Sus scrofa: one gene and its partners. The protein of the gene in region 1 interacts with the protein of each later gene in a biochemical or structural test. Links are inferred from orthologs where the notes say so. Each region holds a gene or a part of one and is shown in the gene's direction. Other genes may lie near its edges. The genes, in order: MAPT, MAPK3, FKBP5, HDAC6, TUBA4A, SNCA and GSK3B.

Region 1 (3,500 bases):
CGGCCTCCCAAGTGGGGGGCCTGAGTGGCTCTAGGGAGCTGGAGGAAGAACACACTAGGACCTCTCTCCACTTTCCACCTCTTTTTAAAGTGCTGTCATCTCTCATTTGTGTAACGTACACCATCTGTTAGCATCATAGAGTGTGTGTCAGCTGACGAAAAACAAATACGCAAATGCACGGTCACTTTCTGTTCTTCCTGATGAGAGGAACCGATAAGGGTACGTGGTCCAAACAGTCTGGAGATCACGGCTTTAAATCACTGCCTGCCTTATTTGTTTTTAGTTACTGTCTGTCCTTTTTCAGTTTGTTCTTTTCCCCATGTGCTGACTTTTATTTTGATTTTATTTATGTTTATGTTTAAGACATCCACACCTTCCTCCGCTAAAACCCTGAAAAATAGGCCTTGCCTTAGCCCCAAACGCCCCACTCCTGGTAGCTCAGACCCTTTGATCAAACCCTCCAGCCCTGCCGTGTGCCCAGAGCCATCTTCCTCTCCTAAACGCGTCTCTTCTGTCACACCCCGAACTGGCGGTTCTGGAGCAAAGGAGATGAAAGTCAAGGTAAGGAAACCACTTTTGGGAAGAACCAGGCTGCTCTCCTGTGGTTTTCAAATGTATGCTTTCCTAGCCACAAAGACCTTTCTTTGGATACATTCTTACCTAGAAGGTTCGTGTAGTTAAAATTCTGGTTGAAAGGGGACGAGGAGGCACAGCGCCATCTTCTGGGCACCCCTCAACCCCTCTTAGCAGCATCCCGAGGCACCGGAGGGGTCCCTGGTTTGAAAAATCACCGCTCTGTTGGGGGTCCTGACTTTGGTAATGGGAGTGCTTCCTGACTGCCCTCCTTTGGGTTGGACAGCATCCCTCTGCAGCCACGCCTCTCCCACTGGGTCACTCCTTCCTGAACCATCTTGTGGTCCTTGGTTAATGTCAGTTTCTTTTTTGAGTTTGTGTATGTGTCAAGGTCACCAGACCCCACACCTGCCCCCCGGTCAGCTGACCGTGCTTGTGCACCTGTGCTCCACCTTCGGCCCATGTGCTCATCGAAGCTGGTGTTCTTAGCCAAGGGCTCTTAGCGCTCCTAAGGGGTTACTGACCCCTTAAAGGCGCATTTGGAAGAGAACAGAAGATTAGGACCAAGCTCGGTTAGCAACCTCAGTCAGGTTCAGTTGTGCCTCCGAAACTAACCACCACCAGTCAGATAAATCCCTCAGGGGAGTCAGAGGGTGCTGCCCACACAGGGAGGGTCTGCAGATCTGCCCGCCGACACTGGGCGGGTGATGAACTTGATCATCACTGTAACCTCTGCTGACTTTTTATTCAGTACATTCGCTCAGCCTGTGCAGGTAACTCCTGTGCACTGTTCCTCCAGGAGGAAACGGCAGTCAGGGCACCTGGTGGCCGGTGTGGATTTGTGTGCCCAGCAAACCCTTGTGATTGCAGAGGGCATTTGCTGCATCTGGCTGACACAGGGTCACCCCATCTTAGCCTCGTTTTGAGTCGAGGTGGTAGAATGGGGCTGGCACTGACGCTGGGTGGCAGGAACCTTTCCCAATGGTAAAAACCACTCTACCGTGCTTCGGTTTACAGGGGGCGGATGGTAAACCTGGAAGCAAGATCGCCACACCCCGGGGAGCCGCCCCTCCAGGCCAGAAAGGCCCGGCCAATGCCACCCGGATTCCAGCAAAAACCACGCCCTCCCCGAAGACCCCGCCGGGCTCTGGTAAGAAGGGTGTTCTCTGGCATCCGAGTCAGGGGAAGAGCTGGCTGTAGACGATTCTACCTCTGGAGGCTCTCATGGTTAATCCCTGGTCGCTGAACGTCACCTGTGGTTTACTAAGCACCGAACTTTTGTTTTCTAATTCTTTTGATTTTCGGAGCTAGATATCGAATCCTTCCTTCCTTCCTTCCTTCCTTCCTTCCTTCCTTCCTTCCTTCCTTCCTTCCTTCTTTCTTTCTTTTCTTTCTTTCTTTCTTTCTTTCTTTCTTTCTTTCTCTTTCTCTCTTTCTCTCTTTCTTTCTTGCCACCCATGGCATATGGAGTTCCTGGGCCATGGATCAGATCCAAGCCACAGTTGCGACCCACACTGCTGTGGCAACACCAGATCCTTTAAACCACTGTGCTGGGCTGGGGATTGAACCTGTATCCTGGTGCTGCAGAGATGCTACCAATCCTGTTGTGCCAAAGTGGGAACTCCTGAATCCCCACTTTTTACCTTGAGGAAATCAAGGCTCTGAAAGTTTGTGTAACTAAGTCTAAGAGCACTTTGAACCTGAGGAAAATGCAGCCACAAGACTAATAACTGATGGGAAAAGGCCTTCACTGAGCTTCTCCAACCCCTATCCAGGAGAGATGAGAGGTGTTTCAGCCCCTAGATGAGGCCTAGGTCACTAGGGGTGACCTCACACAGGGTGCAGCCCCTGCTCACTTGCTGGGATGTTAGGGCTGTCTGAGGGTCTTTGCTGAGCAGTCTCACTGCGCCTGTTCCCCTGGCTGCTGTGAATAAAACCTACACGTCTTTGAGGCAAGGCTTCAAGTGAGCCATTTTGCTTCTACTGGGGACATCCAGGCTGAGCGCCCCTGTCCCACTGCCCCGGTGACTGTCCCAGCCAACTGGGTTTAGACCATGCGTGACGCGGGAAGTGTCTGGCCTGCATTGGCTCTGGGGCAGTGCCCAGGGGCCTGCGGGTCTTGTGTGGGCTGTGTGTGGGCCTGAGCTGGTGCCACCCTGCCTCTGCTGCTCCTTGACCCTGGGGTGGCTGCTCGAAGCCCTTGTCTGCTGCGTGTCTTTGCCATGGTGTTTCGTGAGTTTGCTGTAGAGTGGGCCCTGCATGCTCGGCCACTCATTAAGACCCATCAGTTGGTTTTCTCCCCTGGTGTTTTCCCTCATGTATAGAATACATATGACACAGGGGTAACTCACAGGGGGATGACTGGATTTTACATATGAGTCTGATCCTGCTCTTTTTCACTCATACAACTGGAGTCCTAACAAGAGACAAGAAACATGTTTCTCCAGGGAGTTCCCGTCGTGGCGCAGTGGTTAACGAATCCGACTAGGAACCATGAGGTCGCGGGTTCGGTCCCTGCCCTTGCTCAGTGGGTTAACGATCCGGCGTTGCCGTGAGCTGTGGTGTAGGTCGCAGACGCGGTTCGGATCCCGCGTTGCTGTGGCTCTGGCGTAGGCCGGTGGCTACAGCTCCGATTCAACCCCTAGCCTGAGAACCTCCATATGCCACGGAAGCGGCCCAAGAGATAGCAACAACAACAACAACAAAAGACAAAAAGACAAAAAAATAAATAAATAAAATAAAAAAAAAATTAAAAAAAAAAAAAAAAAAAAAAAGAAACATGTTTCTCTGTAAATCTTACCTGCTCTTGGGGGGATGGGTCTCACCTGTAGGCCCCTTGGCCTTGTTTCCTGCCAGACCCCAGATAGGGCCCCAGGTCCCTGAACCCAACTGCACCTCTTCTCTGTGGATGACCCCCCGGAGCAGGG
Region 2 (2,733 bases), on another chromosome or scaffold:
TCATCTCAGCTTATCTCTACAACCCTCTCTAAAGAACAATTCCTTTTTTGTTTGTTTATTTGTTTTTTGGCCACACCAGTGGCGTGTGGAAGTTCCCAAAGCAGGGATCGACTCCAAGCCACAGCTGCAACCCACATGGCACCTGGGGTGACCCTGGTCCTTAACCTGCTGTGCCACAGCGGGAACTCCTCTAAAGAAGAGTTCTTTTCCCTACTTTACAGATGCGGAAATAGAGGCATAGATGGTCAAGGTCATAAGACCCATTAGCAGTGGAGGAGGGATTGAGATGCTGGCAGGTGACCTCCAGAGCTGATGCTCTTTTTTTTTTTGCATTTTAGGGCCGCACCCACAGCATATCAAGGTTCCCGGCCCAGGGGTCGAATCAGAGCTGCAGCTGCCGGCCACAGCCCACGGTAATGCCACATCTGAGCTGCATCTTCAACCTACACCACAGCTCACGGCAATGCCAGATCCTTAACCCACTGAGGCGAAGCCAGGGATTGAACCCGCATCCTCATGGATCCAGGTCGGGTTCCTTAACCACTGAGCCACAAAGGGAACTCCCCAGAGCTATTGTTCTTAACTGTGACGCTCTCCTGCCTCCCGCAGTGTATTGTCCTCCCTTTCCCAGTAGGGAAACGGAAGCCACGTAACTGAAGTGCTTTGCTCAGGGGTCACCAGCTGAGCGCCAGCAGAGGTCTTGAGCCCACCTGCTGAGTATGAGCCTTGCTCATATAAGCTGGCAGGTCTTTAAGTTAGGGTTAGGGTTAGGGTTAGCTGGCAGGTCTTTAAGTCCCAGGGGCATCAGCTGGAGGGGCGCATCCTAGTCACCAGAGCCTGTTTTTCTTAACCAAGTGCCACCTGCCGCCCCCACCTGGGGGGGGGGAATCTCTGGTACCACCTGCAGCTACATTGTGCAGGACCTGATGGAGACAGACCTGTACAAGTTGCTCAAAAGCCAGCAGCTGAGCAACGACCACATCTGCTACTTCCTCTACCAGATCCTGCGGGGCCTCAAATACATCCACTCCGCCAACGTGCTCCACCGGGATTTAAAGCCCTCCAACCTGCTCATCAACACCACCTGCGACCTTAAGGTCAGAGGGTTGGGTGCCCATCCTGCCCCTGGGTCTCAGGCTTCCCGGTGACCCGTAGCACCCAGGGGTGGCAGAGCATCACGAGCAAAGGGAACCGCACGGGCAGCGGCATGGCCCTGTGACTGCTTGGGCCCAGGCGGTCTTGAGCCCCGAGCTTTAGCAGCCTGGGTTGCCTTCCAGATCTGTGACTTTGGCCTTGCCCGGATCGCGGATCCCGAGCATGACCACACTGGCTTCTTGACGGAATATGTGGCCACGCGCTGGTACCGGGCCCCAGAGATCATGCTTAACTCCAAGGTAGCCCCCCCGCCCCCACAACCCATGAAGTGAAAGGGCCGGGTTCCAGAAAGCCCTGGAGTCGCCTCTGAGCCAGGCACTGACATCCCCCGTGCCCGTATGCAGGAAGTCCACCTCCCGGGCCTTGTCACCTCATTCTGGTTCTTGGGAACAAAACTGCAGATTAGCTTCTCTGGGCCTCTGCCCTCTGCCTCCCTGGCTGGCCTTGAACCTAGATTTCAGGGATGGGGGCGGGAGGTGGCTTGGCCCAAACAGCAGGGCCCTGTTGAGACTGGGGTGGGAGCCTGCCACTTTCTCCTCCTCCCCAGGGCTACACCAAGTCCATAGACATTTGGTCTGTGGGCTGCATTCTGGCTGAGATGCTCTCCAACCGGCCTATCTTCCCGGGCAAGCACTACCTGGACCAGCTCAACCACATTCTGGGTGAGGGGGGGCCTGGCCAGCTGGGTCGGGGCGGGGGATTAGCCTATTGGAGGTGAGATTTCTTTAAAGGTCAGGGTCAGTGTCCGAGAGTCTGTGAGAGGCAGGTCGGGGGGACCACGGTGTGTGCAGCCCCTTGAGCATTTCACAGTATTTCACTTGAGAGTGTCCCCCTTGGATAGATGGGAACAGCAAGACTACATCTGCCCCACACTTAGGAAAAGCTAGAGCTGGGATTTGAACCTAGGGCTGCCCAGAGCCAGACCTCTTGCTCTTTGCCAGCGCAGTATCGGCTGTGAGATAATTGTCGTCCTCGAGTAAGTTGGTAGGAGCGTTTGTTCTTGGCTCCTTTCGTTCCCAGAAGGAATAGGCTGCTCACCGGGTCACCTGCTTACCCACAGGTATCCTGGGCTCCCCATCCCAGGAGGACCTGAATTGTATCATCAACATGAAGGCCCGAAACTACCTGCAGTCTCTGCCCTCCAAGACCAAGGTGGCCTGGGCCAAGCTTTTCCCCAAGTCGGACCCCAAAGGTGAGAGAAGCGTGGGAGCCAGTGTGTGTTTGGTAAAAACTGGGTGCATGGAGTTCCTGTCGTGGCTCAGTGGTTAATGAATCTGACTAGGAACCATGAGGTGGCGGGTTCGATCCCTGGCCTCGCTCAGTGGGTTAAGGAGCCGGCGTTGCCAGGAGCTGTGGTGTAGGTCGCAGACGCGGCTCAGATCCCGAGTTACTGTGAGCTGTGGCGTAGGCCAACAGCTACAGCTCTGACTGGACCCCTAGCCTGGGAACCTCCATATGCCGCAGGTGCGGCCCTAGAAAAGGCAAAAAGACAAAAAAAACCTGGGTGCAGGGGAAAGTACATGAGCCCTGCAGCTGCCTGAGTAGACAGGCCGCTGGACACAGAGAAGCAAAGTAATG
Region 3 (4,158 bases), on another chromosome or scaffold:
CTGCAAGTCCAGAGAAAAGTGCTATGTGCGACGGTTCTCCGGGTGGGATTTTCCCACTTCTGAGAGACAACTTTGAGTTCCTGGTGGTGTTTCCTGGGGCTAACCTGGCTTGCTTACCTGACACAAACAGCCTGGCCTGCCCCTCTCCATCCACGGGGCAGGTTGGGTGGGCAGGAAGGGGGACAGAGTTTTCAGGGAGAGACCCCGTTGTTAAGTCAACAAGCTTATTTAGGCATTAATTTCCCTGGAGGCAAGGAACGGTGTGAGGGGGTGTGGGTCAGTTTCCTTCATCCCTTGCCTCCAGCCCCCACAAAGGGCAAGGGCCAGACACGTGGGCTGGCGTGGAGAGGCGGAGGTTACACCAAGGCGGAGGTGCAAATGGACGGGGGCGGGGCCTTATTTGCATGGACAGCGCGAGGCCGCCAATCCGAACAGGCAGAGCGACAGCCCGCGCGCCTTTTGGGGGCGGACTGACGGCCCCGGGGCCCTATGGAAGGCGGGTCCTACGGCCGGCGGGGGCGGGACGGCGCCGGGCGCTGCCCGGGGGATTCGGGCCGGTTCGCAGGCGCTGCCAGTCTCTGGAGGCGGCGGCGTCCGGCGCGCGGGCGGCCTGCTGGGCGGGCTGAGGGGACAGCTGCGTGCGGGTGAGGCGGGGAGAGACAGAGCAGTAGAGCAACCCCGGCGACAGGTACCGGCGCCATGGCCGCAAGGATGGGGCGGGTGGTCGTGGAGCTCCGGGAGCCGAATTCCTCCTTTGCGGTCCCGCCGCCTTCCCGCTCCGCCTCCCCGCCTCCTCATGCGGCTCCCCAGTCCGGGAACGGCGCGTCGGGGAGAGAGGGGCCGGGGAAGCCTCGAGGCGGACGCGCCGGAGGTCCCCAGCCCGCCGCGGGGCTCCTTTGCGTCCCGCCAGGCCGCGGGGCCGGGGTTCCCTCCTGGAGGCGCGGAGCCGGGCGGCCGCGAGAGCCGCTCCCCGCCCCCGCCGCGCTCCCCCTCGCGGAGGCGAGGCCGGTGGCGCCCGCTGGTCCTCACCCGGCTTTTGTTTCCCGCCCGGGGTGACAGGTCCCGGGCTCCGGCTCGTCCGAGGCCCGGCGCCGGTGACTGCGGCCGGCCGGAGCAGGCGGCGGGACTGGCGGGAGGGCCGGGCGGCGCGTGAGCAGTAGCCGCCGCGGGCGGGAGAGAAACTTCGCCTTCCGGGCCCGGGCGGCGGGAGAAGTGGAGCTGGGGTGAGCCGAGCGTCGGGACGCCGCGGGCACGATGGAGCCTCGCTCACCTGGCGGGGCCCGCGCAGGGCGAGGATAACGGAGCGTCCGGCCGCCGCGGTCCTGGCTTTCGGTTTGCGCTCCCCGGGCGGTGGGTGTGGATGTGTGTTCGCCGCCTTCACCTGCAGACCCGGGACTGGTGACTGGAACAGCATTCCCGCTCTCGGCCGCGCTTAGAGGGTGCCAGGGCCGCTCAGTTTGAACAGGTGATTATTTTAGTGCCAGGTGAAGGCCATTGAGGAGTTTTAGGGCTCCGTATTCAATTCACTCCGGGGCGTTAGAACGCATCTACCCTTAATGACTTCTAAAAAGGGGTGCTGGTTGCAGTAGAGGAGTCAAACTAGTTCAATTTTTTAAAAACTGGGCGGGGGCCGGGAGAGCGAAGGCGAAGTTTCTCTCCCGCCGGGAGAGAACCTGCTTCACACGGACGGGCGGGGAGGAACGTCGTAGTCTCAGTTTGAAAATGGGCTTCTGCAGCGGTGGCGAAAGCATGGTAAGGTACAAGTTGTAAATGGAGAATGCAGAACTCTAGATATCCCTCTGTGTGGTTCAGGACAGCGTGTACAGCCTTTGGCCGCCATTCAGTAAATTCTGCATGAAGCAGTTTGAGCTCGTGGTTTTGGATTTACTTTACAGGAGTGGAATAAGGCTGAGCATTGAATGGGAGCTTTCTTTGCTTTTCTGAGGGCACACAGGAGTGTTTATGTTCATTGTCTTCCCATTTTGTTAGATTGCGGACCAGGGCAAAGTTAAGGCATATTTTGGTTGAGTGTTTTTAATTGTCTCTGGGAATTCTCCTTCCCCCACCGTTCCACCCCTGCCCCTCAGAAGAGGTCTCCAGAGAATTAGAGTAACTTTTCCTCTTGGGCGTTTGAGTCCAAATTCAAAGATGGATGTGAAAACTTATTCTTGTGGGACGTTTTTGTTTGTCATACTTAACATTTTCTGTTTCTGCCTCTCCCATCTGACCTCTGCTTAACACTCTGCAGTTATGGCCCTGACCAATTTAGGGCACCTATAGGGAAAAAAAAGTTTTAAAATAATATGTAGTAATTACTTAAAAATATGTTATGAAGGTTACTAATGACGTATTGGATAAACAGTTGATTTAGATTTTCTTTGCTAATATGTCTTTTTGATGTCTGTGCTAGGTATGGTTTATACTTAGATGTAAGTTTAACTTAGTGATAAAGTTATACTTCTGATTTAGTATGCTACTTTATTAGTGTTTCGTTGAATAGTAATTTTAGTTATTTAGATAATTAGTGACACCTTTTAAAGGTGAACTCTAACCAATAAGCTAATTGTGACTATTGGGGATTAAAAAAAAAAGCAAAACAAAGTGGTCTTTATAAAATGTTTTATTTCTTTAGAACAACAGGCTTATATGCTGAGAGGTCCTTGTCTTTCAAACATTTAACAAAACAAGTATGTTTCTGAATCTTTAATTTTTTAGGGATGGGAATTTGGGGTGAATTTCTTTTTTAAAACAATTTTAATCAGTTCAACGTGACTATTTTAAAATATTAGATTAGACAACTAATGAAATCTTCAATTTTCTGTTTTTTCTTGGATTGAATAGGTTGTTTAGTTTCCTCAAGGCTTCTTAGCTTAGAACGAATCGGTCTAGGAAAGGAAGACCATCCTTGTATATATAGGTGTAGAAGTAATTTCTATTGAAAGCTGAGTTGCCTTTTTGATGCTTAGTGAAGGTTGAATGGTTGAACAGTGACTTGTCCAGAGTGGATTTGATTCTATATAAATAGACTTGAAGACTTTTATGAGACCCGGGCTCTCATGGTTCTGAGCGATTTATGTAATTAATTGTTCTTTAAAGTGTATGGGAATATTAGTTTAACTACTGTGTGTAATTAGTTATAAAATCTTTGTCCTGTGATGATGCTTAAATATACCACATATCATAAAGCTACATTTCATAGTTTCATTTACACAAAAGCATATTTTGGGAACTTTAACTATAAAAGTGACTTTTAATTAAAAGATTGCTTTCAGATTCAGTTTTTACACACTTTAATTGCTGATTTTTGTCCCCTTTAACTTTGTTTACTTTAACTTGTGGTAGACCATATCATAAAATTATCAGCCACATTACAGTTTCAAATTTAAGCATAAGTTGAATTATCGCATCTACACAGTTTACATTGGGAATGTTTTTGTCATTAACCCTCAGGTGTGGCTCCCTTTGAGTTTGAGGCTGGGAAAATATTTTTTAACGAGTAAAGCCACAAAAAAACCGGAACACATTAAACCAACTAAACTTGAGGATAAATCTCACAATTCAGATATTAATACTGTTTTATTTAACAGTAATATGCTTGCTGTATCTCTCATTAATAGTCTCTGTAGGCCTTTAATGTAATTTTTCACAATTCCTAATAAAAGCCTATAGTTACATAATTTGGCACACTAAATTTGTAATTATTTTATGCTGAACAGTTACATGTTCTATACATTTTATAATTCTGAAACTATTTGAACTTTTAACCTAGCTGATTAGAAATTAGATTTTTTTCATTTTACATTCTGAATTTTTTTTTTACAGTGTTTTTTAACTACTGAAATTATGTCCCCAAAAGTGTAAGGGACATTAAATGTACATTCATCAGAGATTAGGCGGCCATTGGTAGGTACATCACATGATTATTGACTTAAAAGCAATAGCCACTGAAGTGCGATTTTTTTTTTTTTTTTTTTTTTTTTTGCGACTAAGATGTTTGTTTATTGTGTAAAAGACAGGTCTGCCAAATGAGACAGGTTAAAATAATTTATAGTAGGGCCTTGTGTATATGTAGCTAACAAGTTAGTAAGGATATTTCAGTAGTATTTGAGACACTAAAATTCAAGTACTCGAAGTAATTTATATCTCATAATTTGTCAT
Region 4 (4,161 bases), on another chromosome or scaffold:
AGGCCAGTATGTGGCCTGCAAAACCTAAAATATTTACTATCTGGCCCTTTACAGAAAAAGTTTGCCAACCTTTGTTGTACAGAAACCTCCCTTCTGACTATACAAAAAAAGTGGGTCTTGGCCCTTACAAGACTCCCTACTCTTTCACTTTGCAAGCATCACCTCAGAACGTTCCTCTGTGTTTATCACTGCATATACATGTTTTCTCTGGCGTACGTGGAGGTGTAAAGGTCTTTTAGCTGCGACCCTCTTCCACTGGGACAAAAGACACGTTCAGGTAGGAAAAGAGTGGAAGGGAAGACTAGGTTGAAACGGGTTTGCAAGAGTGTCAGAGGGCCCAGCTACTGGGCGGTGGGGCTGTCAATCTGTTGGTTAGTCAGCGATGCTGAACCCCAGACCCCTTATCTCTCCCGCCCCAGCCTACAGCCCGGTAGGAAATGGTGAAGAATGAGAGAGGGAGATTAGGAGGACAAACCGGCCTCCTGCGAGGCTGATATTCAGACATTTAGCCATGGGGTGGGAGAGAGTTGGGAGGGCGCATTGTGGGGGGGGGGCGCAACTCCCCCCTACCCATACACTTTCTATTCCAGCTTGCGTGCAGAGGTTACCCACTGGAGGGAGCAGACAGGAAGAGCTGTCACCCAAGAAAAACTCCCCTCCCAAGGTCCATTCTGACTCCCCGGCACTATTATCACAATTTCCCAGAGGAGGAAACTGAAGCACAGAGTCGTTCAGTAACTTGCCCAAAGTCACATGGCTAAGTCCCATAACCTCAGTTTCCTTATCTGCAAAGCAGCCTTAGTACTGGGAAGTACCTCATAGAACTGTGGCTTACGACAATGCCTGTCACATACAACTTGCTATCGTCACGATCATTCCCCCTTCCATTCCACCATCCATTTTCGCGGCAGACTATTAATAGCTAACATTTGGTGAGTGCTTCCTTGCGTACCACCTTAGTGAATATGAACTCAGAAAATTCTCACATTTGTCATCATCACCACTCCCTTTTTGGCCGCCACCAGCCTCGTCCAATTTCCACCGCGCTCCAGGCCCAGCCACCAGCCCGCCCGCGCTACGTCATCACGGCGCGCCGCGCGGGAAGCCAGGGGGCAGGGAGAAGACGCCCTTTCCTAACTCCCTCGCTTGCTTGCTTGCACTCTTGAGTCACCGCACGGTACAGTTGGCGCGAGTCCGGTGGGCTCCTAAGGTAACTGGACAGGGACAAAGAAACCGCGGTCACGACCGCCAGGGTGACAGCTGTGGCGATTGGGGGAGGGGAGAAGCTTGAGCCCGAGCGCCGCGTCAGGCAGCCGGCGCGCGCTTCACGCAGGCGCGGCACGGCCAGCGTCGCGCACTGACGCGCTGATCCGCCGTTTGTGCGTTCCGCTGGAGGCGCAAGGCCGGCTCTCCCCGGTGTGGGCGGGATCGGGGCGGGCTGTAGAGAGATCTGGCCCAATGGAAAAGAGAGGCTCAGGCACCCGCGGCCCTACAGGTCGCCGAGAAATTGGCGGCGCGCGCCAAGGGCGGAGTTTGAGAAAGGGGCTGCGCCAAGTGAGTGGAGGGATTCGTCAACGTCGACAGCGGGGGCGGGGAGGGGGGGGCGGGTCTGGGGGAGGGGCTCGGAAATGGCTGTAGGGGCTTGGGGAAGCGTTTGGGGTTGGGCCTGGGCAGGGGGTGGAGCCTGGCGGAAGGGAAAGGGCAGTCCCCTGAGGAGCTGGGCTCCTTGAAACGTTAGGGGCGGGATCTAGCCTAGTGGAAGGTGCCGGTCCAGCCCGATAAGGGGTGGAGTTAAGTGGATCGTTAAGGGTGGAGTCGGGGCCCGGGGCTGGGGCTGGCTGAGTGAAAGGGTGGGTGATTATCCTGGGAGATTGGCTGGCCAGGGCAGGTTTGCGAAGGGGTGGGGTCTGGGCGAGGCTTTGAGGAATGAAAGGATCTGGGAATGGGGCTTGATAGAGTGAAAGGGGCGGTGATTAGCTGGCAAGGGCTGGCTTAGATCAGGACTGGGCCAGGGGGTTAATTGCTCTGTGAAAGAGCCAGACCGAAAGGGTAAAGAATAGTGTAAAGGGGTGGAGCCTCGTGGAATGGGCGGGACCAAGTGGAATGGACACCCCCTTGGAGGGAGAGAGCCTTGAGAGAGGCGGAGTTTAGAGGTGGTGGGGAATAGATAGCCTAAGGGATGGAGGCTAGCGTAGGGGGCGGGGCCTGGGAAGGGGCTGGGATGAGGGGTCTTCAGGGCGCTCGGGGCCCCTTCTCAGTCACCTCCATCCCACCCCCCAGAACCGCGTCAGGGGTGAAGTCTCCCCAGCCATGACCTCCACCGGCCAGGATTCCACCACAACCAGGCAGCGAAGAAGTAGGCACAACCCCCACTCCCCCCCACACGACTCCAGCGTCACCTCGGTGAGGCCCCTGACCGGCCCTCTTGAGGGGGAGGGGGAGCAGTGGGCCGTGTACTGGACTCTGACCCTTCTCTCTGTTTGGCAGAAGCGAGGTGTTAAAAAGGGTGCCGGACTCCGCTCCAGCCCCAATCTAGCGGATGTAAAGAAGAAAGGCAGAATGAAGAAGCTTAGCCAAGCAGCCGAGCAAGACCTAATCGTGGGGCTCCAAGGGCTGGTGAGAGGGGGCCTGGCTGCAATGTAGCCTCCTGTGACAATCAAAACCGTGAGGTTCTCCATCCTGGAGAGTGTGGGAGGTTCCCTCTGACTCAGGCTCTCAATGCATCAGCCTTTCCCTTTTTTCTTTTTCCTCACAGGATCTGAACCTGGAGGCCAGGACACCGTCTGGCACTGGCTTGGTGTTGGATGAGCAGCTAAATGAATTCCACTGCCTCTGGGATGACAGGTGAGGCTGGCTTCTCCAGGCCATACTCAAATCACACAAACATACACCCTTAGAGCCCATTAGCAAGAATGAATCCTTTCTTACTCTAGCACATGACCTAGGGAGACGAGGCTCAGGCTCGAATGGGTTCTTTTCATTTAGTCAACACATATCTATTGAGAGCCTACTGTGTGCCCAGGGATGGTGATTACAGATGTATCAGACCAGATAGACAGGGATCCTTCTCCAGGAGCTGACAGGCGATAAGGAGAGCAGGTCATCAAACAGCCGCCAGCAGTGTGAGGTGTTTTCATGAAGAAGGACTCGAGACCAGGGGAGTCAGAAGTGTTTAATAGAGGACCCTAGACTAGCATCCAGGGTTCCCAGGAGGCTTCCTTGAAGAAGGGATGTCTGTGCTGATACAGAAGAGTCACACGTTGCAATCTATCAGCACATCCTTTTGGCTCTATGTTCAGAATCTCACCTCTCCTCTCCGCCTCCATTGCTGCCACCATCATCTCTGACCTAGACTTGCAGAGGCCTCCCACCCTCAGCCCTGCTGCCCATGCTCCCCCTCCACGCCAAAAATATGTATAAGATGATGTTCTCTCTCTTTAAGTCCTTCAAGGGCAAACTGTTGCCCTGAAGGTAAAGTTCACATTCTTCACCCCAGCCTCTTGGCCTCTAAGGTTCCACGTGATCTGGTTCCCTAGCACCTTGGTGACCTCATCAGCCAGTCCTCCCCCTCATTCGCTTTGCTTCGCTTCACCTCACACACACTGGTCCCTTTACTGTGCTTCCAACATGCCAGGCACTCCCTCCCCTCAGGCCTTTACTCTGGCCAATGCCCTTTCCAGAAATTCACTTCCACCTTCTCTCCCAGTTAACAGTCATGTCTCCAGGAGACCCTCAGAGAGGGCTTTGCTTGGCCACTCCCCTTCCCCTGAGCTTCAGATTATTCCTAGCCATGTCATTGTTTGTCTGTTGTTATACTTATGTATTCACCAGTTTAGTATCTATCACCCCTATCCCAGTGGAAGAGTCAGGATGTCAAAAGACTTTACTATTGAAGTTCCCTTCGTGGCTTAGTGGTTAACGAACTCAACTGGGATCCACGAGGATGCGGGTTCGATCCCTGGCCTCGCTCCGTGGGTTAAGGATCCAGCATTGCCGTGAACTGTGGTGTAGGCCGGCAGCTGCAGCTCCAATTCGACCCTTAACCTGGGAACTGCCCTGTGCTGTGGGTGCAGCCCTAAAAAGACCAGAATAAATAGGGTGGTCAGGGGAGGCCTCAGTACGCGAGTGGGGATCTGCAGGAGGTGAGGATGTGAGCTACAG
Region 5 (4,098 bases), on another chromosome or scaffold:
TACTGGGAAAAAAGACTTTGTCATCTTTCATTGCATCCCTTGCTACACCTTGCCTAAATAAGGTGTCAGTCAGCTATTTTGTTGGTAGAAAGTTGCCGTTGTTAGTTATTTTATCCTACTATGCTGTATACTCACCAGCCCTGGCCCTAAGAAACACTGTGATAGGAGAAGCAAGTGAGTCTTTTTCAAGTGACTAGTCTTGGAGACAGGTTTCTTAAGGATGTGCCAGTAGGCATATAGGGCACTTCTGATGACTTTCCCAGTGAAAGGAGACAGCTAGGAAATGTAAGGCACACAAAGGAAAGCAGACATAGATTGAAAAGTCCATTCCTGCAAGAAACAGAAATGAAACATAAAAAGAGGGAAGAGCTTCAGTGAAGACGTCCACCTGAGCGATGAGGGTGTTGAGATGCAAGTCACAAATCCTGCCCATGGTTTAGGGACAGAAGAGGATGGTAAAATCAAAATCAACCATAATGTCAGAATCTCCATTTTCTTTTTTTCCTCCTCAGAGTCAACAAACATTGTGCTATCTCACGACAACGCGTTCTGGGCGGAATCTTGTCTCCTCTTCACCGGTGAAGATGCCAAGGACTCGGTGAGGTTAAGTCACTTGCCCAAGGTCATATAGGGCTCCAGCAGGAAAGCGGGCAGGTGGCCATGGCGAGGCCCAGCTAATAGTGACGGCTCTGATGACGGGACCTCTGACTCGCTGGCAGTCGGCTAGCACTGGCAGATTCTGGGGGTCGGCCCTCGCTGACAGATTGTGGGGTCGGCTCTGCGGAGCAGCCGGAAGGATCGGCAACCTGGGGCTCAGGCTGTGCAGCTCCGGGTCCTCAGCCGCCCACAGGCATCGGCGAAGGCCAGCGGTCCCCGCCGGGGACCATCAGGCCGCGTGCGGCTACAGAGGGATCCTGGGGGACGGGCCAAAGCCAGGCAGTCGGCCGGAGCCTCCAGGGAGGCGGGGCGGGGAGGGCACTGGCGAAGGCTGGGTGCAGCCACTTTGGAAAAACAGCCTCTACGGCACCCGGCCTAAGTCAGAACACCTGAGCGACAGACGCCCGCATGATGCAGGTGCAGGCGAGACACGCCCTGGCACCGCGCCCAGCGTCCCAACCGCGGAGCTTGGGAGCTCGGAGTGTCGGCTCAAAACTAGGAGGGAAGGGTTAAAGCCCGGGTCGCTACTCCTAACCCACGTCCGACAGGTGAGCAACGCGGGCACGCTGAGGGGAGGGGACTCGCCGGGGCCCAACCCCTCACGGCCGCCTACCCTCCGGGGGCGGGGCCTCTGGGCCGCCCAGCTATTAGTGGGCGGTCGGAGCGCGCGGGCCCGCCCCCCGCGTATAAGAGCGGTGCGGCACTGCAGCTAGCGCAGTTCTCACTGAGACCCGTCACCCGGACTCTACGTGAGACCCACCGCCCGGACTCACCATGGTGAGTGCGGCCCCGCCAGCATCGTGCCTGTCCCACAAGTGTCCCCTCTCTTTCGGGGACCCTCCCTCCCGGGATGCTCGGGGCCCTCCATTAGGAGTTCTAGGTCTTGCGGAGGTTTTTTTTCTGGGGGGGGGTGCATTCTTTCCACCCCACCCCCTCCCCGTGACTTTGGGTGGGCAGCGTTGTCCACTTTCGGAGCCTGGGGAAGGAGGTGGAGTGGGGTGGGATTCTTCACTAGCAAATAGGAGTCCTCTGGAATCTCCTTCTGCTCTGCAAGCATTTGTGCCCTAACCCTCCTGGGGGGAGTCACGAGGTCCCGCGCCCAGTCCTTTCTGCCGGCGAGGGAGACCCGTTCGGCTGCCCTCGGCTCCTAGCCTCCCACTCACTCCCTAGTCCCTGGAACTAACCCAACACGTGCTCGGGGCAAGAAAGTGGAAAGGGGTCAGATTACCTGGTCCACCATCACCTTTTCCTCCGACTACGTGAGCATCCCTCCTACCCTCATGCCTCCCACCCGTGACTCAGCACCCCTCTTCTGAGCCTAGAGGGGTGGCAAGAATGGGGTTCGGCCTCGTGAGGCGAGCCGGACTCTCTCCAACAGGAGTCCGGGTGCGCGGACGGGCAGAGACAGCTGGCGCTGAGCGAGAGCACGGGCCGGGGCCAGGTTGGGGGGAGGGGAAAGAGGTGTGTGTAGGGGGTGGTATTTATAGCCCAGGGATGGGGGCCGAAATCCAATCCTCGCTTTCCGCTGGGATGTAACTTGGAAAGAATCTTAAAGGAGTACGAATGCAGGGCCGGAGTGCAGGATGGCGCTCACCCTGTCCAGGGCCAGGCGGGTTACCTCTGAGGCCTCACCGCAGGTTCCGCTTCCTCTTCTGGGTATTTGGAAACCGTCACCCCGCCATTTCGGTGTTGAAAAGGGAGGCTGCGCCGGCCCTGCAGCTGCACCGCTTTGGTTCTTCAGAGGTTAATTTCAGACTGGCAGGGATGAGCCTAGGGCAGCGAGGGCCCCAGTGCCCACAACCCTTATTGCGGGTGCCTGCCGTTTTTTGCTCTCTGCAATTTCAGTGCCTGCTCCGCAATGGATGAAGGTGGTGAAGATACCCAGAGTGTGGGGGTGGAGGTGGGGAGAGCAGCCAGATGGGATTGATCCCAGAGCCAGATAGGATTTAAAGTGGAGGAGGGCATCCTGATGGCTCATGTGGTCAGTTGATGCCAGACTGGAAGGCTGAGACACCCCTGCAGCCCGCAAGAATGAAAGGGGGCGAGGGTTATATGACATCCTAGTTGTTCATCCTCAAAGCAAAGAATTAATCAAACAGGGGACTTCTAGCTACACACATTCATAGTTCTGGAAGACCTTCTGTCTCTTCTGTTGAGAGCTGGTTTGTGGGAGTAGGAATTGGGAACAGCTGAAAGATCACTTGTCCTTGTCTCAGTTACTGCAGTGTTCGCCTGTTTCCTATGCACTCGCCCTCTCCGTCCTCCCCGAGTGTCCTATGAATGTGGCGGGAGCATGCGGAGCCCTAGCTCTTACCTGACAAGGTCCCCACGGAGAAGCAGGCTGAGGAAGTGGCCTGCCCTACTGGGTGCCCCTAGTTGGGAAGTCTTATGCAGGGGAGCCTGGGCAGGCTGCCAGCCTCTTCTGACCTCTGCCCAGCCCCAAGCCTCCACTTTAACCAACTGAGTCATCCAAACTGGTAGGTGATAGGGTGGGAGAAAGGCTCATGAGGTAAGGACTTCTGTATGTGGGGCTTATGCCGTGTCCTCCCTCTCTATCCTTCAGCGTGAATGCATCTCAGTCCATGTTGGGCAGGCAGGTGTCCAGATGGGCAATGCCTGCTGGGAGCTCTACTGTCTGGAACATGGGATCCAGCCGGATGGGCAGATGCCCAGTGACAAGACCATTGGTGGAGGAGACGACTCCTTCACCACCTTCTTCTGTGAAACTGGTGCTGGAAAGCATGTGCCCCGGGCAGTTTTTGTGGATTTGGAGCCCACCGTGATTGGTGAGAGGAAGAGGGGGGTGGAATGGAGGGAATGGAAAGTGACTCTAAGCTTCTGTCTAGAGTGAGGGTGTCTAGACCTGGCTTTCCTGGCCCTGAAAACCCCTTGCCCTGCTAGACACTAAAGAAGGCAAGTTGATAGCAGACTGGCTGGGCAGCAGGTCTGGGTTTCTCTCACCCACTGCTATCTCAGGCTGGCAGAAGCATGAGCTCTTCCATACATCTGACCACAGCTGCCAGGCTGGGGGAGGGGGGGTCTGTGCTGAGCCCCGCCTTGTGGTTTGTGCCCTAACGGTGTGGTTTATGTCCTTCCAGATGAGATCCGAAATGGCCCCTACCGGCAGCTCTTCCACCCAGAGCAGCTCATCACTGGGAAAGAGGATGCGGCTAACAACTATGCCCGTGGTCACTACACCATCGGCAAGGAAATTATTGACCCGGTACTGGACCGGATCCGCAAGCTGGTGAGAATTTGGGATGGAAGGGAGGGAGCTCTTGAGATGATGCTGGTGGTCAGAAACAGTTTTTTTTTTTTTTTCAGATCTGTTTCATGGGGTCATCTCTAATTGTACATGTGCCGGAGTCTGCTATGGCTATGGAACACTCATTAGTCTTACTTAGCCTTGACTCCTGAGGTGTTTTAGGCTTTTGTGGAGCC
Region 6 (4,195 bases), on another chromosome or scaffold:
AGTTCTACGTGTACACACATTCCATTCCCTTTCAGATGCTTTTCCCAGCATGTATTTTTCAAAACTGTTTTAAGGGAACACTCAAGAGCTGAGCCTATCGCTGTTTATAAATCTTACTTAAAATTGAGAAAAGACCATTGAAATAGTATTGTTTATTTTAAAAGATTTATATTTTATGGATGCAGGGTTAAATATTTACAGATGAAAAGACATATATAATTCTTGGGATTTAGTAAAAATTGGGGGAAGGAGTAGTGATAAATATAGGGAATAGACAAGAATGCAGATGCACGTGGTTGACTGCATTAGAAAACAATGGAAGGAGTTCCCGTCGTGGCGCAGTGGTTAACGAATCCGACTAGGAACCATGAGGTTGCAGGTTCGGTCCCTGCCCTTGCTCAGTGGGTTAACGATCCTGCGTTGCCGTGAGCTGTGGTGTAGGTTGCAGACGCGGCTCGGATCCCGCGTTGCTGTGGCTCTGGCGTAGGCCGGTGGCTACAGCTCCGATTCAACCCCTAGCCTGGGAACCTCCATATGCCACGGGAGCGGCCCAAGAAATAGCAACAACAACAATAACAACAACAACAACAACAAAAAAAAAAAAAAAGAAGAAAGAAAACAGTGGAAGCTGGGTGATATTCCATGGAGAGTCCTTTATTCTATTTTTGTTTTTGTTTTGCTTTTTAGGGGTGCACCCGCAGTATATGGAAGTTCCCAGGCCAGGGGTGGCTGGACCTGTAGCTACTGGCCTATACTACTACTACAGCCACAGCAACACCAGATCCCAGCCCTATCCCTGACCCACACTGCAGCTCATGGCAATGCAGGATCCTGAACCCATTAAGTGAGGCTGGGGATGGAACCCGCATCCCCACGGATACTAGTTGGGTTTGTCACTGCTGAGCCACAACAGGAATTCCTATTCTCTCCATTCTTGTATGTTTGAACATTTCCCATAATAAAAAGTTGAAAAGAGAGGGATCATCTTGGTTCCTCTCCCTTTACAAGAGAAAACTGAACATAACTTGTATTGGCTCTCAAAGCCAAAAAGCAAACCAACTTCCAAGTTTCCTTCCAAGTTCCCCAGGAAACAAAATAGGAGCGTTTTTAGAAAGCCTACTTTTTAAAAGGGCCGACCATCAGTGCAAGGAGTAGGTTAAGCAATATATATACTTGCTTCCCATCTCTTTGGGTTTCAAACTGTTGTTTTTGTAGATTTAAATTACTTTTTACTCACATTCCAGAATGTGAGTCCAAGGATCAGAGAAATTCCCCCCCACACACACACAAATAAACACAAGACAAGCAAAAAAAAAAAAAAAAATCTGCAAAGACCTGTTTTTTCCCCTTCCAGTTCTAAAAGCATCCTCCTATTCCAGGCAAAGCAAGCAGAGGCAGTCTGTTAGGGGGAGGAGCTTGGTTCTCCATTCCGGTGTGATCCAGGAACAGCTGTTTTCCCTCCAGCTCTGAAAGGTGAAACTGTGTCAAGCAATGCAAAAATTGTCTTGAAGCTCGTGCATGTGTATGTCTGTGTGTCTGTGTGTGGGATGGGGTAGCCTGTCAGCCCCGAGGACAACGTGAATCAGTAGTCGGAAAGGTGAGTGGTATGTGGAATCTCTCTTTTCAGAAGGGGCCCATGAAATTGGATATGACGGTTCAGGAGACTCAGTCACTCTGGATTTATCTCTTCCATCCAGGAACAGGAATCTGGAAAGTAAATCCCATTCTGAGAACAAAACGCCTTACAGCCGCTGGGTTTCGACGGCTGGGGAATATTTATTCCTTGATCCACTGATGGGAAAAATCAGCGTCTGGCAGCCGCTGATTGGTGGAAAGAAAATGGTGATAGTGGGGTGGGAAGAGGATTTGACGAGCCTCCTCCTGCCTCCTCAACCTGTAACTCATCCTTACTAGTCGCCTCTCCACCTGCCGGACCACTTCGGGCTCAGGAGAGGTTAAGAACAAACGTTAAATCCGGAGAATAGTTAAACAAAAGCTTCGTTAACATTGTGTCCTAAGGACCCTTCATCCAATTTCAGTGATGCGAGGGAAACCTGCGCTTGGTCCTGATGCGGGTACCTTCCGAAGCTACCTGTCTCCTTTAGCAGCTCCCCGAAAGACTGGCGCTATTTTGGTGGTAGAGCCCTCAGACCCCACTTCCCCGGGCTGGCTCATGACGTGGGGGTCCGCAGGAAAAACCGGGGGGAAAGGCGGAGACTGGGAAGGAGGGGGGATGGGGAGAGAGAAACAGACATCAGACATCAGCCCAAGCCTCAGAGCTCCGGATCGCCGCCAGAGCCCGGGCGCCCCTGAACTTGAGGTGAACCGCCCAACACCCCACCTTCCAGTCTCCCAAGCCCAGGCGGGCGGCTGGCGTTGGAGGTACAGCCTCCCACCACCCCCATCCGAGAAGAGGAGTGAAGTGCACGCGGCGGGGAAAGCAACGCGCGCAGGGAGCGGGGCGGGGAGCGGCGCTGACAAATCCGCTGCGGGGGCGGGGAGCGGAGGAGAAGGAGGAGGAAGACGAGGAGAAGGACCGAGACCACTAGAAGGGGACCCAGGAGAGGGGGCGAGAGACAGAGCGCAGCGACGTGGGGGTGAGGTGTGTGCTGGCTTTGGAGCAGACCCGGGGACCGCGCCTTGCCTTTGGCAGCCTTGGCGCTCTTTCGCCGCCTTCCCTTCCTCCCTTCTTCTGCCTGGAATCCTCTCGTGCGGGGGACGGGGAGTGGCGATTCGACGACAGGTTCGCGGGTTCCCTCCCACGCCCCCAGCCTCTCCCCCCAGGGTTGTGCCGACAGCCGCCTCCGCTGAGGGCCATCCCTCTCCTGGTGCCGCCTCCACCCTTCCTGTGCGCTCCTATCCTCCTCCCTCCCATTTAAATAATATTTAGGAATTGTTTTTAAAATTTTTTAAGTGGGTGCGGGGAGGATCGGAGTTCTCAGGAGCCAAGGGAATCAGGTAAGTACCTGTGAATCTAAGTGGGCAGCTTGGGAAATCTTGGAGAAAACCTGGTGGGAGAAGAGTCATTGCGGCGCCTGGGGGGGGGGGGGGGTTAGTGCTGCGGTGAGGACCTGCCATAGTCGAGTCTCTCTTAGAGGTGGGCACTGACCCCTTTGGTGAGCTTGAGGAAAGTAAATTGACTCGGCTTACCTCTCTTCTCGTCCTCAAAGGCTGAGCGGTCTGGATTCTCCGGGATACGCTTTTCCTTTGGGAAAGTCGAGGATGCTCGAAGGATTATAACTATTCAACTTTTATTTCTTACTTTCCTTAAATCCCCCAGCCCACCCTCTCTGTTCTCTCTGTAAAGTAAGCAAGCTGTATTGGGCAAGCCTTTAAATGGAAGCGCAGAGAGAGCAAGTCAACAGGTGGGAAGGGGTTAACAGGTGCTGGGCGCCGGGTGGGTGGCGGGTTCAGCGGGCTAACTCCACCTCTGGCAGCTGGCGCGCATCCGGAGACTGCCTGCAGGTGTGAACGCTCCTGCTTGCCTGCTCAGGGTAGACAGCTGAAGGTGGGGTACAGCGTCCAGTGGGTGAGAGCCACTGCAGGTGGGCTTGCAGTTGGCCTGGGGTTCAGCCACACCCAGAGTGAGTGGTTCTCTTCCCACCCCTCTTCCTGATCAACCTGTTAGCTGTTTGGGGGATTTATTTTGAGTATCTCTGACCCCCCCTCCTCCAGCTCCTTTTTCCGTTTCCTGTGATCTGTCTTCTAAACGCACTTCTAACTTAACACCTTCATCGTTTGGACCCTGGGAAATTGAAAGGGGGGAGGGGGTAAGTCCTTTCATGTAACTCCACTTGGAATGCGGTGAGAACAACTCAGATGATTCATCCCAATCCATGTTTAGGAGGCTAGACTTCCACCAAACAAGATGGATGGGAGATGCTAAATTTTTAATGCAAAAGCTAAAAAAAGGCTGCTTTGTCCAGTGGTTGAAACAGAGGTACACCTACAAGAGTCCTGCATTTTTTTTGGGGGGGGGCGGGGGAGTCTACTGATCTTTCAGTGATTTTTACCTTGGGTGGTTCTAATTTCGTTTTGTTTTACCCCAAAGTTCTCAAAGTGTATTTTGTGTTCTCCAGTGTGGTGTAAAGGAATTCATTAGCCATGGATGTATTCATGAAAGGACTTTCAAAAGCCAAGGAGGGAGTCGTGGCTGCTGCTGAAAAAACCAAACAGGGTGTGGCAGAAGCAGCGG
Region 7 (3,500 bases), on another chromosome or scaffold:
TCTATAGCATTTTTTATTTCAGTTTGTCTTCAAGTTATATTGAGAAACATTGCAAAAAATTTTAATTTACTTTAATATTTAAAATGCATGCCATAAAATATTTGGGAAGGAAAGTTGGATTAAAAGAAGGTGTGATTAATCTTTATAGACAACAGAATTAGAATTCATAGACTGTGCTTTCTATCTGTCCTACAGGAAAGGGTCTTTTTAATTGGGTAATGAATGTTTAGACAGTTAATAAATTGGTCAAATGGTGGAAAAATAAAATAGATTGGGTCTGTAAGCCTTGAAGTACCGAGTCAGAAGTCAAATTATAAGAGAGTGCTGATTTCTTAACCTTTTAAAAAACATATTACTTAAGCATTCTTGTGTGTGTGTGTGTGTCTTTTAGGGCCCACCTGCGTCATATGGAGGTTCTCAGGCTAGGGGTCAGCCACGGCAATGCCAGATCCTTAACCCACTGAGCGAGGTCAGGAATCAAACCTTTGTCCTCCTGGATGCTAGTCAGGTTCGTTAACCGCTGAACCACAATGGGAACTCCTACTTAAGCATTCTTATATTAAAAATCTATTACGGAGTTCCCGTCGTGGCGCAGTGGTTAACGAATCCGACTAGGAACCATGAGGTTGCGGGTTTGATCCCTGCCCTTGCTCAGTGGGTTAACGATCCGGCGTTGCCGTGAGCTGTGGTGTAGGTTGCAGACGCGGCTCAGATCCTGCGTTGCTGTGGCTCTGGTGTAGGCCAGTGGCTACAGCTCCGATTCGACCCCTAGCCTGGGAACCTCCATATGCTGCGGGAGCGGCCCAAGAAATAGCAAAAAGACAAAAAAAAAAAAAAAATCTATTACTATGCTTTTTGGTGAGAGGCGGTACCTCTTATTTGTCTGCTTTTCTTTCTCTGTATTTTAGAGGTGAAATTCAGGGAACAAGAGCAGAAGATACATAGTGTTTATCCTTTGTGATTTTTAAAATCTTTCCATGGTAACAATTGTCAGATGCACTCTTTAAAAGTAACTGTTGTTTTTTGTTTTTTGTTTTTTGTTTTCAGAGTGGTGTGTTAAAATTATAAGTTTCTTTTGTCAGAGATAGTTATGGTTCATATTTTCTTTTTCCTGTATGTTGCATGACAGGAATTATGGGAATCTTAGATAAACATTCGGTGTTGCAAATGATAGCAGTTTTGTTTCATTTACAGTTTAGATTTAATTTAAAGAATTTCTGCTTTTGATCTTTTATTAGTGCAAAGCAGCTGGTCCGAGGAGAACCCAATGTTTCGTATATCTGTTCTCGGTACTATAGGGCACCAGAGTTGATCTTTGGAGCCACTGATTATACCTCTAGTATAGGTAAGTACTGATTCTGAATATAATGGGTTGTAGTTATTAATTGCATCTTGTTTTTAGAAATATGTTTCTTCTCAAAGATTGATATACAAAAATGTATATAATTTTTAGAATTTCATCTCTTAGAATTTAATTTATATTTACTATTCTACTTTGAGGTTTCTTGGATTATAAGAAAAAGTAATAAAGTTATTCCTTTGTGATTGTATGATTTCTCTAGGATTACAGTTATTTTTAACTTAAAATTTTAAATAAATTCTAAGTATACTTTTTCTTCACTTAAAAGAAAAATTACCCTGAAATACCCACTTTTGAGCTTGATTATTAGTTGGAGAATTTACATTCATTAAGTTCGTGAGTAAAGTGGTAGGATTACCATTTTACTGAGTCTTACTGTGCTGTTTCAATTGGTTATTTAAGTCAGCTCAAAAGGAACAGTTTTGACTTTTTCAATTAGTAGTTTGGATAGACCCATTAATTCTGTAGAAGTTGCCACTAAAGATCTTTAATGATAGAAGCAATTGAATAGAGACAATTTTCTTCATTCTTCATTGACCTCTTCTACTCTATTTTTGCTCACTAGTAGGGGTGCACAAGTATTTTCAGTGGGCATGAATAGGAAGCTGGAGCAACCTTAGGGTGACATGCAGATGGAGGTCAAAATTATTTTATTGTTATATATTGTTTCTGAAGAGTATTCCTTAGTTCAGAAACAAACAAAAGCATGCAAATACCAAACAAACAAAAACTAAAATAAAAAGCTCACAGTAACAAGAACTTGGACACTTTTTCTCTTTTGATAACATGTAAAAATTCTCTAGTATGAATGAAGACCTTTAAACAGAAACACATTACTGTTATTTTTATTTTGCCAAAGGGCAAAGTGCCAAAGAACATTTTGATTTGTGCCATGAGGCCAGTAGTTTAACTCACCATTTCTCTTGCACCGTCAGTGCAAATGTCAACATAGTGAAAAATGAAGCTTATGAAAATAACTTTGCCCTCAGCACCTCTGAAAAGGTCTAGGAGACCCAGTGCTCTGCAGATCATACCTTGAGACCTGCCGCCCTGGAAGATAGAGAGTATAATAATGTGTGTGTGTGTGTGTGTGTGTGTGTGTCTGTGTCTGTGTGTGTAAAATGCTCAAAAGTTTCACTATGGCTATGTTATAAGGCATATGTTCAGGGACAGATGAGAACTAGTATAATGGATGTTTTGGTTGAATAGACCAAAATTTGAGGTCCAGGTTTACTGCTACTCAGCTAAGCTATAAAGTGGAGATTACAAACCATTCTGTTTACCTTTCTGAGTGGCTGTAAGGATTAAATAAAATGTTAGTGAAAGTACTATAGAAATATGAAGTGGGAGTTCCTGTCGTGGCTCAGCAGAAAGGAATCTGACTAGCATCCATGAGGATGAAGTTTCGATCCCTGGCCTTCCTCAGTGGGTTAAGGATCTGGCATTGCTGTGAGCTATGGTGTGGTTTGCAGACATGGCTCGGATTGCACATTGCTGTGGCTATGGGGTAGGCTGGCAGCTGCAGCTCTGATTCAACCCCAAGCCTGGGAACTTCCACATGCCTCGGGGTCTGGCCCTAAAAAGACAAAAAAAAAAAAAAAAAAAAAAAGAAATATGAAGTGGTGTTCTTTTTGTGGTATTTGTTAACTTGACTCTATCCCAAGAGCAAATTTCAACACTTTTTATCTTTGGAGAGTTTGGGTTTTCTAGCTGCTTTCTGTTTTATTCACATATATGAAACTAATCATGTGCATACCAGGATGAGATGCATACTGGGATGAGTTTTGCCAGGGGCACCTAAAATAAATGCAGTTTGCTTCTTTTTAAAAGTCATGCACTGACATATTAAGGCATGTTTATATAAACCTTTGACCCTCTTAAGAGTACATTACTTCTGTAAATGTCCATGTGCCCAGCAGTTCTTTGGGAATCCTTTCTCAAAAAGAAGGTCAAGTGTAGTCTGTTTTCTCTATTAAGAATCGATTTTCTGGATGTTATGAGTACTGACTCTCTAGTAGCCTTCTTTGCATGACTAAGATCAGATTCAAAAGTTGCTGATTCAACAGGAGCCTTTTGAACCCTACAAGCCTATATTTGACCTTCCTTTTTAGATTTAGGATATGTGCATCTTAATACTGTG

What was found.
Region 2: of the proteins of MAPT (region 1) and MAPK3, one has a biochemical effect on the other in vitro, tested with the Homo sapiens proteins (2 studies listed by BioGRID). The link is inferred for Sus scrofa from reciprocal best matches to the Homo sapiens genes MAPT and MAPK3.
Region 3: the proteins of MAPT (region 1) and FKBP5 form a complex in vitro, tested with the Homo sapiens proteins (2 studies listed by BioGRID and IntAct, with this or other methods). The link is inferred for Sus scrofa from reciprocal best matches to the Homo sapiens genes MAPT and FKBP5.
Region 4: the proteins of MAPT (region 1) and HDAC6 form a complex in vitro, tested with the Homo sapiens proteins (4 studies listed by BioGRID, with this or other methods). The link is inferred for Sus scrofa from reciprocal best matches to the Homo sapiens genes MAPT and HDAC6.
Region 5: the proteins of MAPT (region 1) and TUBA4A are reported together in a solved structure, tested with the Homo sapiens proteins (2 studies listed by BioGRID, with this or other methods). The link is inferred for Sus scrofa from reciprocal best matches to the Homo sapiens genes MAPT and TUBA4A.
Region 6: the proteins of MAPT (region 1) and SNCA form a complex in vitro, tested with the Homo sapiens proteins (3 studies listed by BioGRID and IntAct). The link is inferred for Sus scrofa from reciprocal best matches to the Homo sapiens genes MAPT and SNCA.
Region 7: of the proteins of MAPT (region 1) and GSK3B, one has a biochemical effect on the other in vitro, tested with the Homo sapiens proteins (21 studies listed by BioGRID and IntAct, with this or other methods). The link is inferred for Sus scrofa from reciprocal best matches to the Homo sapiens genes MAPT and GSK3B.

What each region holds. Positions count from the first base shown.
Region 1 is NC_010454.4:17,124,391-17,127,890, reverse strand, and holds part of MAPT (microtubule-associated protein tau), read left to right. Parts: intron 1-363; coding exon 364-561; intron 562-1,590; coding exon 1,591-1,723; intron 1,724-3,500. UniProt on the Homo sapiens protein: Promotes microtubule assembly and stability, and might be involved in the establishment and maintenance of neuronal polarity.
Region 2 is NC_010445.4:18,293,678-18,296,410, reverse strand, and holds part of MAPK3 (mitogen-activated protein kinase 3), read left to right. Parts: intron 1-907; coding exon 908-1,097; intron 1,098-1,277; coding exon 1,278-1,394; intron 1,395-1,702; coding exon 1,703-1,817; intron 1,818-2,215; coding exon 2,216-2,347; intron 2,348-2,733.
Region 3 is NC_010449.5:31,547,031-31,551,188, reverse strand, and holds the start of FKBP5 (FK506 binding protein 5), read left to right. Parts: upstream 1-1,358; 5' UTR 1,359-1,465; intron 1,466-4,158. UniProt on the Homo sapiens protein: Immunophilin protein with PPIase and co-chaperone activities. Component of unligated steroid receptors heterocomplexes through interaction with heat-shock protein 90 (HSP90).
Region 4 is NC_010461.5:42,916,852-42,921,012, forward strand, and holds the start of HDAC6 (histone deacetylase 6), read left to right. Parts: upstream 1-1,361; 5' UTR 1,362-1,458; coding exon 1,459-1,554; intron 1,555-1,696; exon of another isoform or gene 1,697-1,850; intron 1,851-1,861; exon of another isoform or gene 1,862-1,888; intron 1,889-2,280; coding exon 2,281-2,403; intron 2,404-2,487; coding exon 2,488-2,616; intron 2,617-2,755; coding exon 2,756-2,844; intron 2,845-4,161.
Region 5 is NC_010457.5:121,291,249-121,295,346, reverse strand, and holds the start of TUBA4A (tubulin alpha-4A chain), read left to right. Parts: upstream 1-1,298; 5' UTR 1,299-1,431; coding exon 1,432-1,434; intron 1,435-3,220; coding exon 3,221-3,443; intron 3,444-3,755; coding exon 3,756-3,904; intron 3,905-4,098. UniProt on the Homo sapiens protein: Tubulin is the major constituent of microtubules, a cylinder consisting of laterally associated linear protofilaments composed of alpha- and beta-tubulin heterodimers.
Region 6 is NC_010450.4:129,246,329-129,250,523, forward strand, and holds the start of SNCA (alpha-synuclein), read left to right. Parts: upstream 1-1,395; 5' UTR 1,396-1,473; exon of another isoform or gene 1,474-1,597; intron 1,598-2,230; exon of another isoform or gene 2,231-2,958; intron 2,959-3,075; exon of another isoform or gene 3,076-3,097; intron 3,098-3,446; exon of another isoform or gene 3,447-3,770; intron 3,771-3,847; exon of another isoform or gene 3,848-3,940; intron 3,941-4,079; 5' UTR 4,080-4,104; coding exon 4,105-4,195. UniProt on the Homo sapiens protein: Neuronal protein that plays several roles in synaptic activity such as regulation of synaptic vesicle trafficking and subsequent neurotransmitter release.
Region 7 is NC_010455.5:140,289,609-140,293,108, forward strand, and holds part of GSK3B (glycogen synthase kinase-3 beta), read left to right. Parts: intron 1-1,238; coding exon 1,239-1,345; intron 1,346-3,500. UniProt on the Homo sapiens protein: Constitutively active protein kinase that acts as a negative regulator in the hormonal control of glucose homeostasis, Wnt signaling and regulation of transcription factors and microtubules, by phosphorylating and inactivating glycogen synthase (GYS1 or GYS2), EIF2B, CTNNB1/beta-catenin, APC, AXIN1, DPYSL2/CRMP2, JUN, NFATC1/NFATC, MAPT/TAU and MACF1.